2 linked regions of the Macaca fascicularis genome follow. The protein of the gene in region 1 purifies or fractionates together with the protein of each later gene. This does not show direct contact. Links are inferred from orthologs where the notes say so. Each region holds a gene or a part of one and is shown on either strand. Other genes may lie near its edges. The genes, in order: PRPF40A and RBM25.

What was found.
Region 2: the proteins of PRPF40A (region 1) and RBM25 purify together in Homo sapiens (affinity purification with mass spectrometry; 5 studies listed by BioGRID and IntAct, with this or other methods). This does not show direct contact. The link is inferred for Macaca fascicularis from reciprocal best matches to the Homo sapiens genes PRPF40A and RBM25.

The regions. Positions count from the first base shown.
Region 1 is NC_088386.1:48,223,390-48,227,979, reverse strand, and holds the start of PRPF40A (pre-mRNA-processing factor 40 homolog A), read left to right. Parts: upstream 1-1,487; 5' UTR 1,488-1,670; coding exon 1,671-1,946; coding exon of another isoform or gene 1,947-2,072; intron 2,073-3,169; coding exon 3,170-3,301; intron 3,302-4,590. Other genes in the region: ARL6IP6 (ADP-ribosylation factor-like protein 6-interacting protein 6), read right to left, coding at 277-676.
Region 2 is NC_088381.1:140,948,424-140,952,740, forward strand, and holds the start of RBM25 (RNA-binding protein 25), read left to right. Parts: upstream 1-1,256; 5' UTR 1,257-1,431; intron 1,432-4,317. UniProt on the Homo sapiens protein: RNA-binding protein that acts as a regulator of alternative pre-mRNA splicing. Involved in apoptotic cell death through the regulation of the apoptotic factor BCL2L1 isoform expression.

The sequences.
Region 1 (4,590 bases):
TATTTCATCCCCCGTGTTTAAGGACTTGAAGATATTTCTTCAAGAGTACCCATTTAATCAAAAGATCTTTTTTAAAAATGGGTCTCCTGATCACGGATCAGGACGCTCCACTTACAAAAGGGCTGGAAAGCAAAGTAAGATGCAAATGAGGACTCTGGGTGAAAGCAGCTGCCACCCTGCGGGCTTAGGCAGCACGAAGGGAGAAGGGTGGTGGCAAGAGCCACACCCTGACTCAACTTTACTCTGGACAGACTTTCAAGGCCTCGGCTTCAATACCTTTCACGATCAAGTAGGCGATGGCGAGGAGGAAGGCGAGAAGGATGGCGAAGAGCAGCGAGCAGAGAATAGAAAGGACCTGGACCGGCCACCGCCGAGGCTGGGTTCTGCTGCCCGCGGCCGCGGGAAAGATACCATTGCGCTTATCTGGCAGGACAGGCGACCCGTCCCCGTCCGGCGGGAGCAGCGAGCCCTTTCTGGGCTCTGACCACGCCCCAGCCGAGAACTCCGCCCGCAGGTCGCGGGCCACTTGGTCGCATCCCTCCTCCTCGTCGACTTCGCCTTCACCCCAACTGTCCCCCTGAGTAAAGGAGGAATATGTTGGCCCAGCCACAGGGCCCGGGGTCCCGGGACGGCGGCGCCGCAGAGCCGACCGCCACCCGCTCTCCGCTAACGACATGGCGCGAAGCACAGCGAAACCCGCGGAGTATGAGCCTCTCCCACCTGCCCCGCCCCGGGTCCGCAACAGCCAATCCGCGGCCGTGGCCGCTACCACCATGCCTCAGAACCCAGGGGTAAACCACGGAGAGCAAGGTTGGGCGGCGGGTTGCAAAGGAAGTCGTAGGGCCTGAGGAGAGGTGGGATGCGCTTGGACCAGAGCTCGACCCCAGGGCTGTAGCCGGAAGGGGGAGCAGGAAAGCGCGCAGCGAGAAGTGGGCGGAGGCCGAAGGCGGCCGAGTATCCACTCCCTGCGGCGCTTCATCCCTGCCGGAGACCTCCGCCACTGCCGCGTCACCAACGGGAGCGCGAGACCCGACAGCCCCAAAGCCGCATCTTTTCGACGCCGGGTCCTAGCGCCCGCCCGCGCCTTCGACACATTCACGAACCTATTTGCCTTCTCCCTTCTTCCCCTCTACGCTCACACTCTTCTCCAGGTTCCCCTATTAAGAAAGGGCAGCTCTCTGCCTGGTACTCTCGCGGTGCCTTCACTGCTCACCCCATCTCCCTTTAGTGTGGTTCTCCCCACCCGTACCACAACTTCCCTCACGCTACTCGACACGCCTCCTTCCTCCTCCACCCAGGCGCGCGCTCTCCACCTGGTGCGTACCGAGCTCGCACCCTCTCCTCGGAACCCCTCCTTTCGCCTTCCCCGCCCCCTCCCCTCCGCCTCGAGCACTGCGCGCGCGCATTCGGTCCCAGCCACCGCTAACACTAGAGGCTGCTTACCCCCGCCCCCTCCACCCTACCCCTGGCGGCCTCAGGTTTGTGGGGCGTACGTAACTCGGGCGGGGAGGGGGAAGGTGGCAGACCCCACTGCCCCACCCCCTACGGGGTGAGGCGGTCTAAGCTCGGGAAGCTGGGACACGGTTGTCTTCCCTTCCCCTGGGGAAGTTGGTAGAGTTTTCCCGACGGAGGACTCGGCGCAGAAACTTCCTCCGTCCTCCCCCCGCCCCATGCAGGCGACGCCGAGTGAGGCTGAGGCTGCGGGCGAATCGCCGCAGAGTTGCGTGTCGGCCGCGCATTCTGATTGGACAGCGGGGAAGCCCGTCAGCCTGTTGGCCTCGCTGATCCCGCCCCGTAGCGCAGGGCAGCCTTTAACCTTTAGCCCCAGTGGGCGCCAGCCACTCAGATCGCTTCTTGTTGGTATGTGTAGCGGCAGTGGCCGCCGGCGGAGCAGTCTGAGCCCGACGATGAGGCCGGGGACGGGAGCTGAACGTGGAGGCCTCATGGTGAGTGAAATGGAGAGCCATCCTCCCTCGCAGGGTCCTGGGGACGGGGAGCGGAGATTGTCCGGCTCAAGCCTCTGCTCCGGCTCTTGGGTCTCTGCTGACGGCTTCCTGAGGAGACGGCCCTCGGTAAGGGATCAGTGGGGCAGGGGGAAGGCGGCACAATGAAAAACGGAGTGAGAGAAACAGGAAGCTTTCTCCGAAAGGAGAAGAAGATAAGAGTGGACGAAGGAAGAACTCGAGATGGTGGGATATGTTGTGAGGGAGAGAAGTGGAGGGTGGGGATGCACAAAGAAGGATGTGAGACCCTGGAAGTACCCCGTAGGCTTGGCCTAGACAGATGCGTGGTGAAGGTGCTGGCTCTTGGGCGGGGTGAGCGTCTTGGAGCTTTAGGCCCGATTTAGCTGGAAGGGGGAGGGAGGGGCTTGATTCTGTAAGACTTTAACAGCGGCTGCCAAAATTTGTTTTCATTACTTGTGGGGTCGTCTGCATGGGGAACTGTTAGGACAATTGACAGGAGATAATTAGCTGGTTTTAATTTAAAACATGGAACAATGGACTCATCGGTAAAGAAAGTAGTTGTCTTTTTAAATTGCGTTGAAAGGGATGAATTAGTTGTTTGCATTTAGTGTCCGTGAGTAACAGAACCTCAGTCTTTAAAAATGTATTTTTGACAGAAGGAATTTTACCTGTCTTAAAGGTTATGTTAGGAAATAAGTTTGTTAGGAGTGAATTGTCCCTGGGTGGCACTACTGTTTGTGTTTTATAAGACTGACTTTCACCTGAGTTAATATGATAGAGCATTTTAAAGTTTAAAATCAGTAGTGTTATAAAATAACAATAGCTGGCTATTTTTTATATTTGCATGAAATAGAAGAATTGTTGTTTTCACTGTAACAGTTTTAAGATTAGTATTCAATATGTATCCTTCAAGCTTAGCAAGCCAGTTAGTAGCTGATTAAGTCAATGCTTAAAAAAAAGAGAAAACCTATGATCCAGCTGTCCAGTAATCATCTTAACTTTTCCCGTTTTGTTGCGGAATTTGCAAGCTCGTTTTAAATACTAGCAGAATGCATTTTGTTTAAAACAAGGTATAGATTAATCCAGTGACATTATTATGCATAAGCTTAATATTAGGTTGCTTCAGATAACTGATTTGTTGAAATGAGATTTTTGAGAAGCGTTTAGTATTATTTGCTCATTTAAAAACGTTCGCTGTTTTTCAGATGGGGCACCCTGGCATGCATTATGCCCCAATGGGAATGCACCCTATGGGTCAGAGAGCGAATATGCCTCCTGTACCTCATGGAATGATGCCACAGATGATGCCCCCTATGGGAGGGCCACCAATGGGACAAGTAAGAATGCTTTTATTTTATTTTGCATTTATTTATTTGTTTTTGCCTCAGGTATTCTGTCAAGATTTCAAAATCTAGGTCAATAGTTATAGCTGTTTAAGGATTAGTTTATGCCCGAATAATTTTAAATAAGCCAAATGTTGAATCATGACTGTAATGGAAATTTGAATGTAATGAAAAAGTCTCCTGAGAAATTTACTGATTACCTCAAAACTAAGAATTTTTTTTTTATTATTACTTAAAAGTAAAGTGTGCGTCCAGGCTTTTATTTTTAATAATTATTTTTTCAACCATGCCAATTGAAGTTAATGGTCTAAAAGTAAATATTATCTGATACAGCAACATAACTGATTTTGGTAGACCATGTAAATAAATAGAATCTGAAAATAGCAATTGTTTTGGTTTAGAGCGAATTTTATTCCTGAAATATCTTCCTCTGTGTGTGTTGGAGGAGAGTGAGGGAGGGTGGGGGGTTTGTGCTCTATAATTCTGATTCTTCATAGGACAGTGCCAGTAGGTACTTCATTTTCCACTTACACTATTTTTTTTTAATGCTTATTGCTTCTACACTCCTGCTTATGAGCTGTCCCTTCCATCTCTAGCATAAATTGTAAATGGACATTTTGTAGAAGTGATTTGGATCAAAAGGTTTTAATGCTGATTCAGTGATTTCGGTAGAACTGAGTTTCTAGAGAAGCATCTAAGAAAGGTAACAGGTTCAGTTACCATGAGTAATTTTGTGCTCCATGTTAAGTTCTATATAGATCTTTAGGTGGCTGGGTTATTTCCATTTGAGTATTTCCATAAATCATCAAAAATTTAGGCTAACAAAATATTTTGGAAGCCAATTTCATGTGATCTTTTGCTAATTAGTACTGTTTGATAATTGTTTAAGCTTTCATGGTTAAAGTTATTGGTGAAATTGCAGTGGGAAAAGGAGCTTGCTATGTGTCTGTCTCTTTTTACTTAACCTTAAGAGTAGAAGGGCTTAATGTCAAGTGATTTTCCTCTTTTTTTTTTAATTTGGAATGTTGCCCTTAATTTTGTTTAAAAAAAAAAAAAAAAACCTTTATTCAAAGACACCAGCCCCAAAAGATTCTGCTTGCAGGAGTTCTTTAAATAAAAGAGCCTTTTATTCTGTGACTTTAGAATAACACAAATTTTAAAACTCTCTAGGTGATGGAGAAACAACTTTGATTCCTCTTCTGTTTCTTTCCATCTCTAAGCAGCAAGGAGCTCTTCTTGTTTTCTTGGTAGAGCTGCTCTAACTAGATAATGAGCTTTAAAAA
Region 2 (4,317 bases), on another chromosome or scaffold:
CAGCTTCCCAAGTAGCTGGGATTACAGGGGCCTGCCACCACCTGCTTATATTTGTATTTTCAGTAGAGACAGGGTTTCGCCATGTTGGCCAGGCTGGCCTCGAACACCTAACCTCAGGTGATCCACCCGCCTCAGCCTCCCAAAGTGCTGGGATTACAGGCGTGAGCCACCGCGCCTGGCCGGTAATCATTTCCTTCACTCTACGAATATTTATTGAGCGCTTGCTATGTACCGGGACCTGTTATTGCACAAAACCGGCAATCCACGCATTGCTTACATTCACATTCTAGTGGGGGTAGTGACGGACCATAAAATCAGTTAGAAAAATGTATGTTATGATAGATGGTTATGAGTACTTTAGAGTAAAATTAAGTAGGAGAGGCAGGCAGGAAGTGTGTAGGTATGTTTCAATTTTATATTAGGATGGGCAGAGTTTGTCATCTATTTCACCTGGTTCACAGTTCCTGCAGGACAGGAACAAATGTCACTTCCATTTGCCTTCATACTTCCAGCACTTAGCACAGCACCAGGAACTCAGGGAGGCAATAACTTTATACTGAATACGTTTTATACCTTCCTAGAAGCAAGCAGTTGAGAAAGGCGTATAACTAGATATTGCCTATAAGGTCCACAATTGGAATAACGTAATCATTTATGATTGATTTTATTCATTTTCATTAACTTAAGCTAAGTTCTTTCAGCACGTTTAGATTACAGAACGAAAGCTGTGTTAACTAGTATTACAGGACTTTTCACGTTTTTCCAAACATCTTCTAGCCACCTCCGGCCCTACAACTACCCATAAGCTTTTGCTTTTCAAAAAACCTCCACAGCCTTTGCCAATTACTTCTAGATCTCGAGTAGTTGTTATAACAACACTTGGGGTTTAACACTGAGGTTGCGTATAGGGCCCAGTTATCAGTTCCTCGAACCTCCAGTAATCACAAAGCAAGGTTCTACACCCCGAAAAACTACGAAAAGTGAGAAATCCTCTAACACTCCTCGCGCCGTGCCCAGCCGGAATCATGACCTCAAGATGGCGTCCCGTAGTCGTAAGATTCAGTCGGCTCCAATCAAACATGGCAGTGTGGGTCATAATTTACAGTTCGGGCCTTTCTAGTAGCTGCTAGACGCTGCTTCTCTATGGTTATTCGTCTCGGCTTGGTGAGTCAGAGTCAACAGGGGAGACGATCTATATACGTTCTTCTCTATGGTTCCGCGCTCCACGCCCCCGGCGCAGTGCACGCCGGGCAAGAGGAAGACCTCCAGCAGCTCCCCGCGCAGCGCGGCTGTATTTGCGGCCTGTGAGAGTAGGCGCTTCGGACCCGTGTCTCCCTGGCGAGCGGCGGGCAGAAATCTTGAACAAGTGGAGCGCACTGGTCACCTGGATTCTAGAAGGCCGCGAAGGCAGTACCGTTTTTTCAGCGGCGGGTGAGTTTGTGTCCCTGAACGCGTGTGGAAACCGGGAGACCGGGTGCCTCAGCTGGTGGAGGAGGAAAAGCCGGGGTGGCTGCGAAAGCGCCAGGGTGGGGTAGAGATAAGGGGGGGGGCGCGGAGGCGGGGGTGGGGGAGGGGTCGGCACGAGGCTTGGTTTCTCCTCTTCTGTAAGGCCTGGAAGACCTGTGGGCCCAGCTGGAGCCCGTGGAGGCCAGACCTATGACTTGAGCTTTCCGTCTTGCATTGTCGCCCGCTTTCCCTTTCCCTTCCACGTTCCGCCGCGCAGTGAATCGTCTCTGCCCCTCCTGGGCTCCACGTTAGACCCAAAACGATCGGTCTGCCCCTGGGGAGCCCTTCCCTGAGCCCCCTTGCTTACGGGAGCCCCACAGTAGGTTTTCGGGCCTGGGGCACTGGCCCCAGCAGTTGCCTTGATGTTAGCCTCCACCCACCCTTTTTAGCGAGGTGCTGGCCACCAACGGATATCTTTCCCTTCCTCTTTGGCCATCTAGAGCCCGCCACCAAGCGAACTGGGCCCCACCCCCTTGGAATTGAGCTAATACCTACCTTTTTAGCACTCCTGGCTTGCTTAAGATGGTCATGAATTTTGCCATCCTGCCTCCTTTGAGCATTGGAGGGTGCAGTAAACTGTATATCGCCATTCATTCTAGGCGATTACTAAGCTCCACGTTAAAATGTTACTTTCTCATTTTTCTTTGGTCGTCAATCATGCTTTTAAATACAGTTTTCCGGAATAGACGTAGGACTGTGAAGATTTTTCGGAAGTTATGTAATATGGATTTGTATTGCCATGGAAATGCCATTTTGATACTGGGCAGAGTGGAGCCAAGAGAAGGGAAGAGATTGGACCTCTGTTGCACCCTACTGCTGTATTAGTGTGAAGTATTGTGTATTAGGCCGTGGGCAGTAATGTATAAACAATTTTTGTATTGTCTTTGGAGCTTTTAATTTTTTTAAAGGCCGTTTCCAAAAACGTTCAGAGGACTTTAAAGGGATTAAATTGGTCGTAAGTTATTCATGATTCACGTGAATCTTACACTATTCTAATTCATTTAACTTAAAGCCTTGGTTTTTCTTTTTTTTCTTTTTAAGCTTTGGTTTTTGTTCCTCTGTAAAATGAATTGATAGTAATATCTATACGTTATTGGGGTTGGAGATTGAGAAAAACGTTATGTAAAATCCTTCGTGCGATATCCAGGTAACACATAGTAAGCATTTAAATCTATATTGACATAATTTTTTATTTAAGAATTTTCAATAAAATGTAAGAGTCCAACCCTGATTCTTGAATTTTTGTTTGTTTGTTTGTTTGTTTGTTTTTTGAGACAGAGTCTTGCTATGTTGCCCAGGCTGGAGTGCAGTGGCGCGATCTCGGCTCACTGCAACCTCCGCCTCGCGGGTTCAAGCGATTCTCCTGCCTCAGCCTCCTGAGTAACTGGGACTACAGGCGCGCGCCCCGACGCCTGGCTAATTTTTGTATTTTTAATAGAGACTGAGGTTTCACTATGTTGGCCAGGATGGTCTCGATTTCCTGACCTCGTGATCCGCCCGCCTTGGCCTTCCAAAGTGCTGGGATTACAGGCGCGAACCACCGTGCTTGGCCTTCTGAATGTATTTTTAAAGTAAAACTAGTCCATGTTAACATTGGCTAACTATTTCAGACCTAACAGGAATTTGGAATTTTCAAGTTATGTTTTTGTCCACAGACAAATTAACAGTTTAGTTTTCTTATTTACACATGATTTAGTGAAAAATTAAATTATTTTATAGCTTTGGAAGCAAAGGAATCATATATGAATCTTTTTTTTTTTTTTTTTTTTTTTTTTTTTTGAGACGGAGTCTCGCTGTGTCGCCCAGGCTGGAGTGCAGTGGCGCGATCTCGGCTCACTGCAAGCTCCGCCTCCTGGGTTTACGCCATTCTCCTGCCTCAGCCTCCTGAGTAGCTGGGACTACAGGCGCCCGCCACCGCGCCCGGCTAATTTTTTGTATTTTTAGTAGAGACGGGGTTTCACCGTGGTCTCGATCTCCTGACCTTGTGATCCGCCCGCCTCGGCCTCCCAAAGTGCTGGGATTACAGGCGTGAGCCACCGCGCCCGGCCTCATATATGCATCTTAACATCTTGCTTTAGAGATTTCTTGATTGACTTTTCAAACACTACCACTGCCGTTCACAAAAGGGATTTTTGATTCTTCTTAAATAGCTTTTCTACCTTTTTTTGAAATTTGAAAGTTGTTGAAACTAAAGGAAGAACAAAATTCCACTACCCAGAATTATTGGTATTGGCTTTTAACTTTTTATATAGACATAATTTCAAATTTACAAAAAAAAGTTGCAAGAATAGTACAAAAGAAATCTCAGATATCTTTCACCAGATTCCTCAAATGTTAACATTTTGCCAATTTGCTTTATCCTTCTCTTCTCTTCATAGGTTTCTTCTGAAATGTTTTGCTAGTAAGTTGCAGATGTGATGCCCCCTAACCCATAAATACTTAAGTGTATTTCCTAAAAATTAGGACTAGTCTTATGTAACAACAGTACAACAATCAAAATAAGGAAACTAACATTGATAAAATACCTAATCTACAGTTCTTAGATTTTGCCGATTTTTCTGAGTTGGTATACTTTTTTTTTTTTTTTTTTCTTGAGACGAAGTCTTGCTCTGTTGCCCAGGCTGGAGCGCAGTGGCGCCATCTCCACTCTCACTGCAAGCTCCGCCTCCCAGGTTCACGCCATTCTCCTGCCTCAGCCTCCCGTGTAGCTGGGACTACAGGCGCCCGCCACCGTGCCCGGCTAATTTTTGTATTTTTAGTAGAGACGGGGTTTCACCGTGTTAGCCAGGATGGTCTCGATCTCTTGACCTC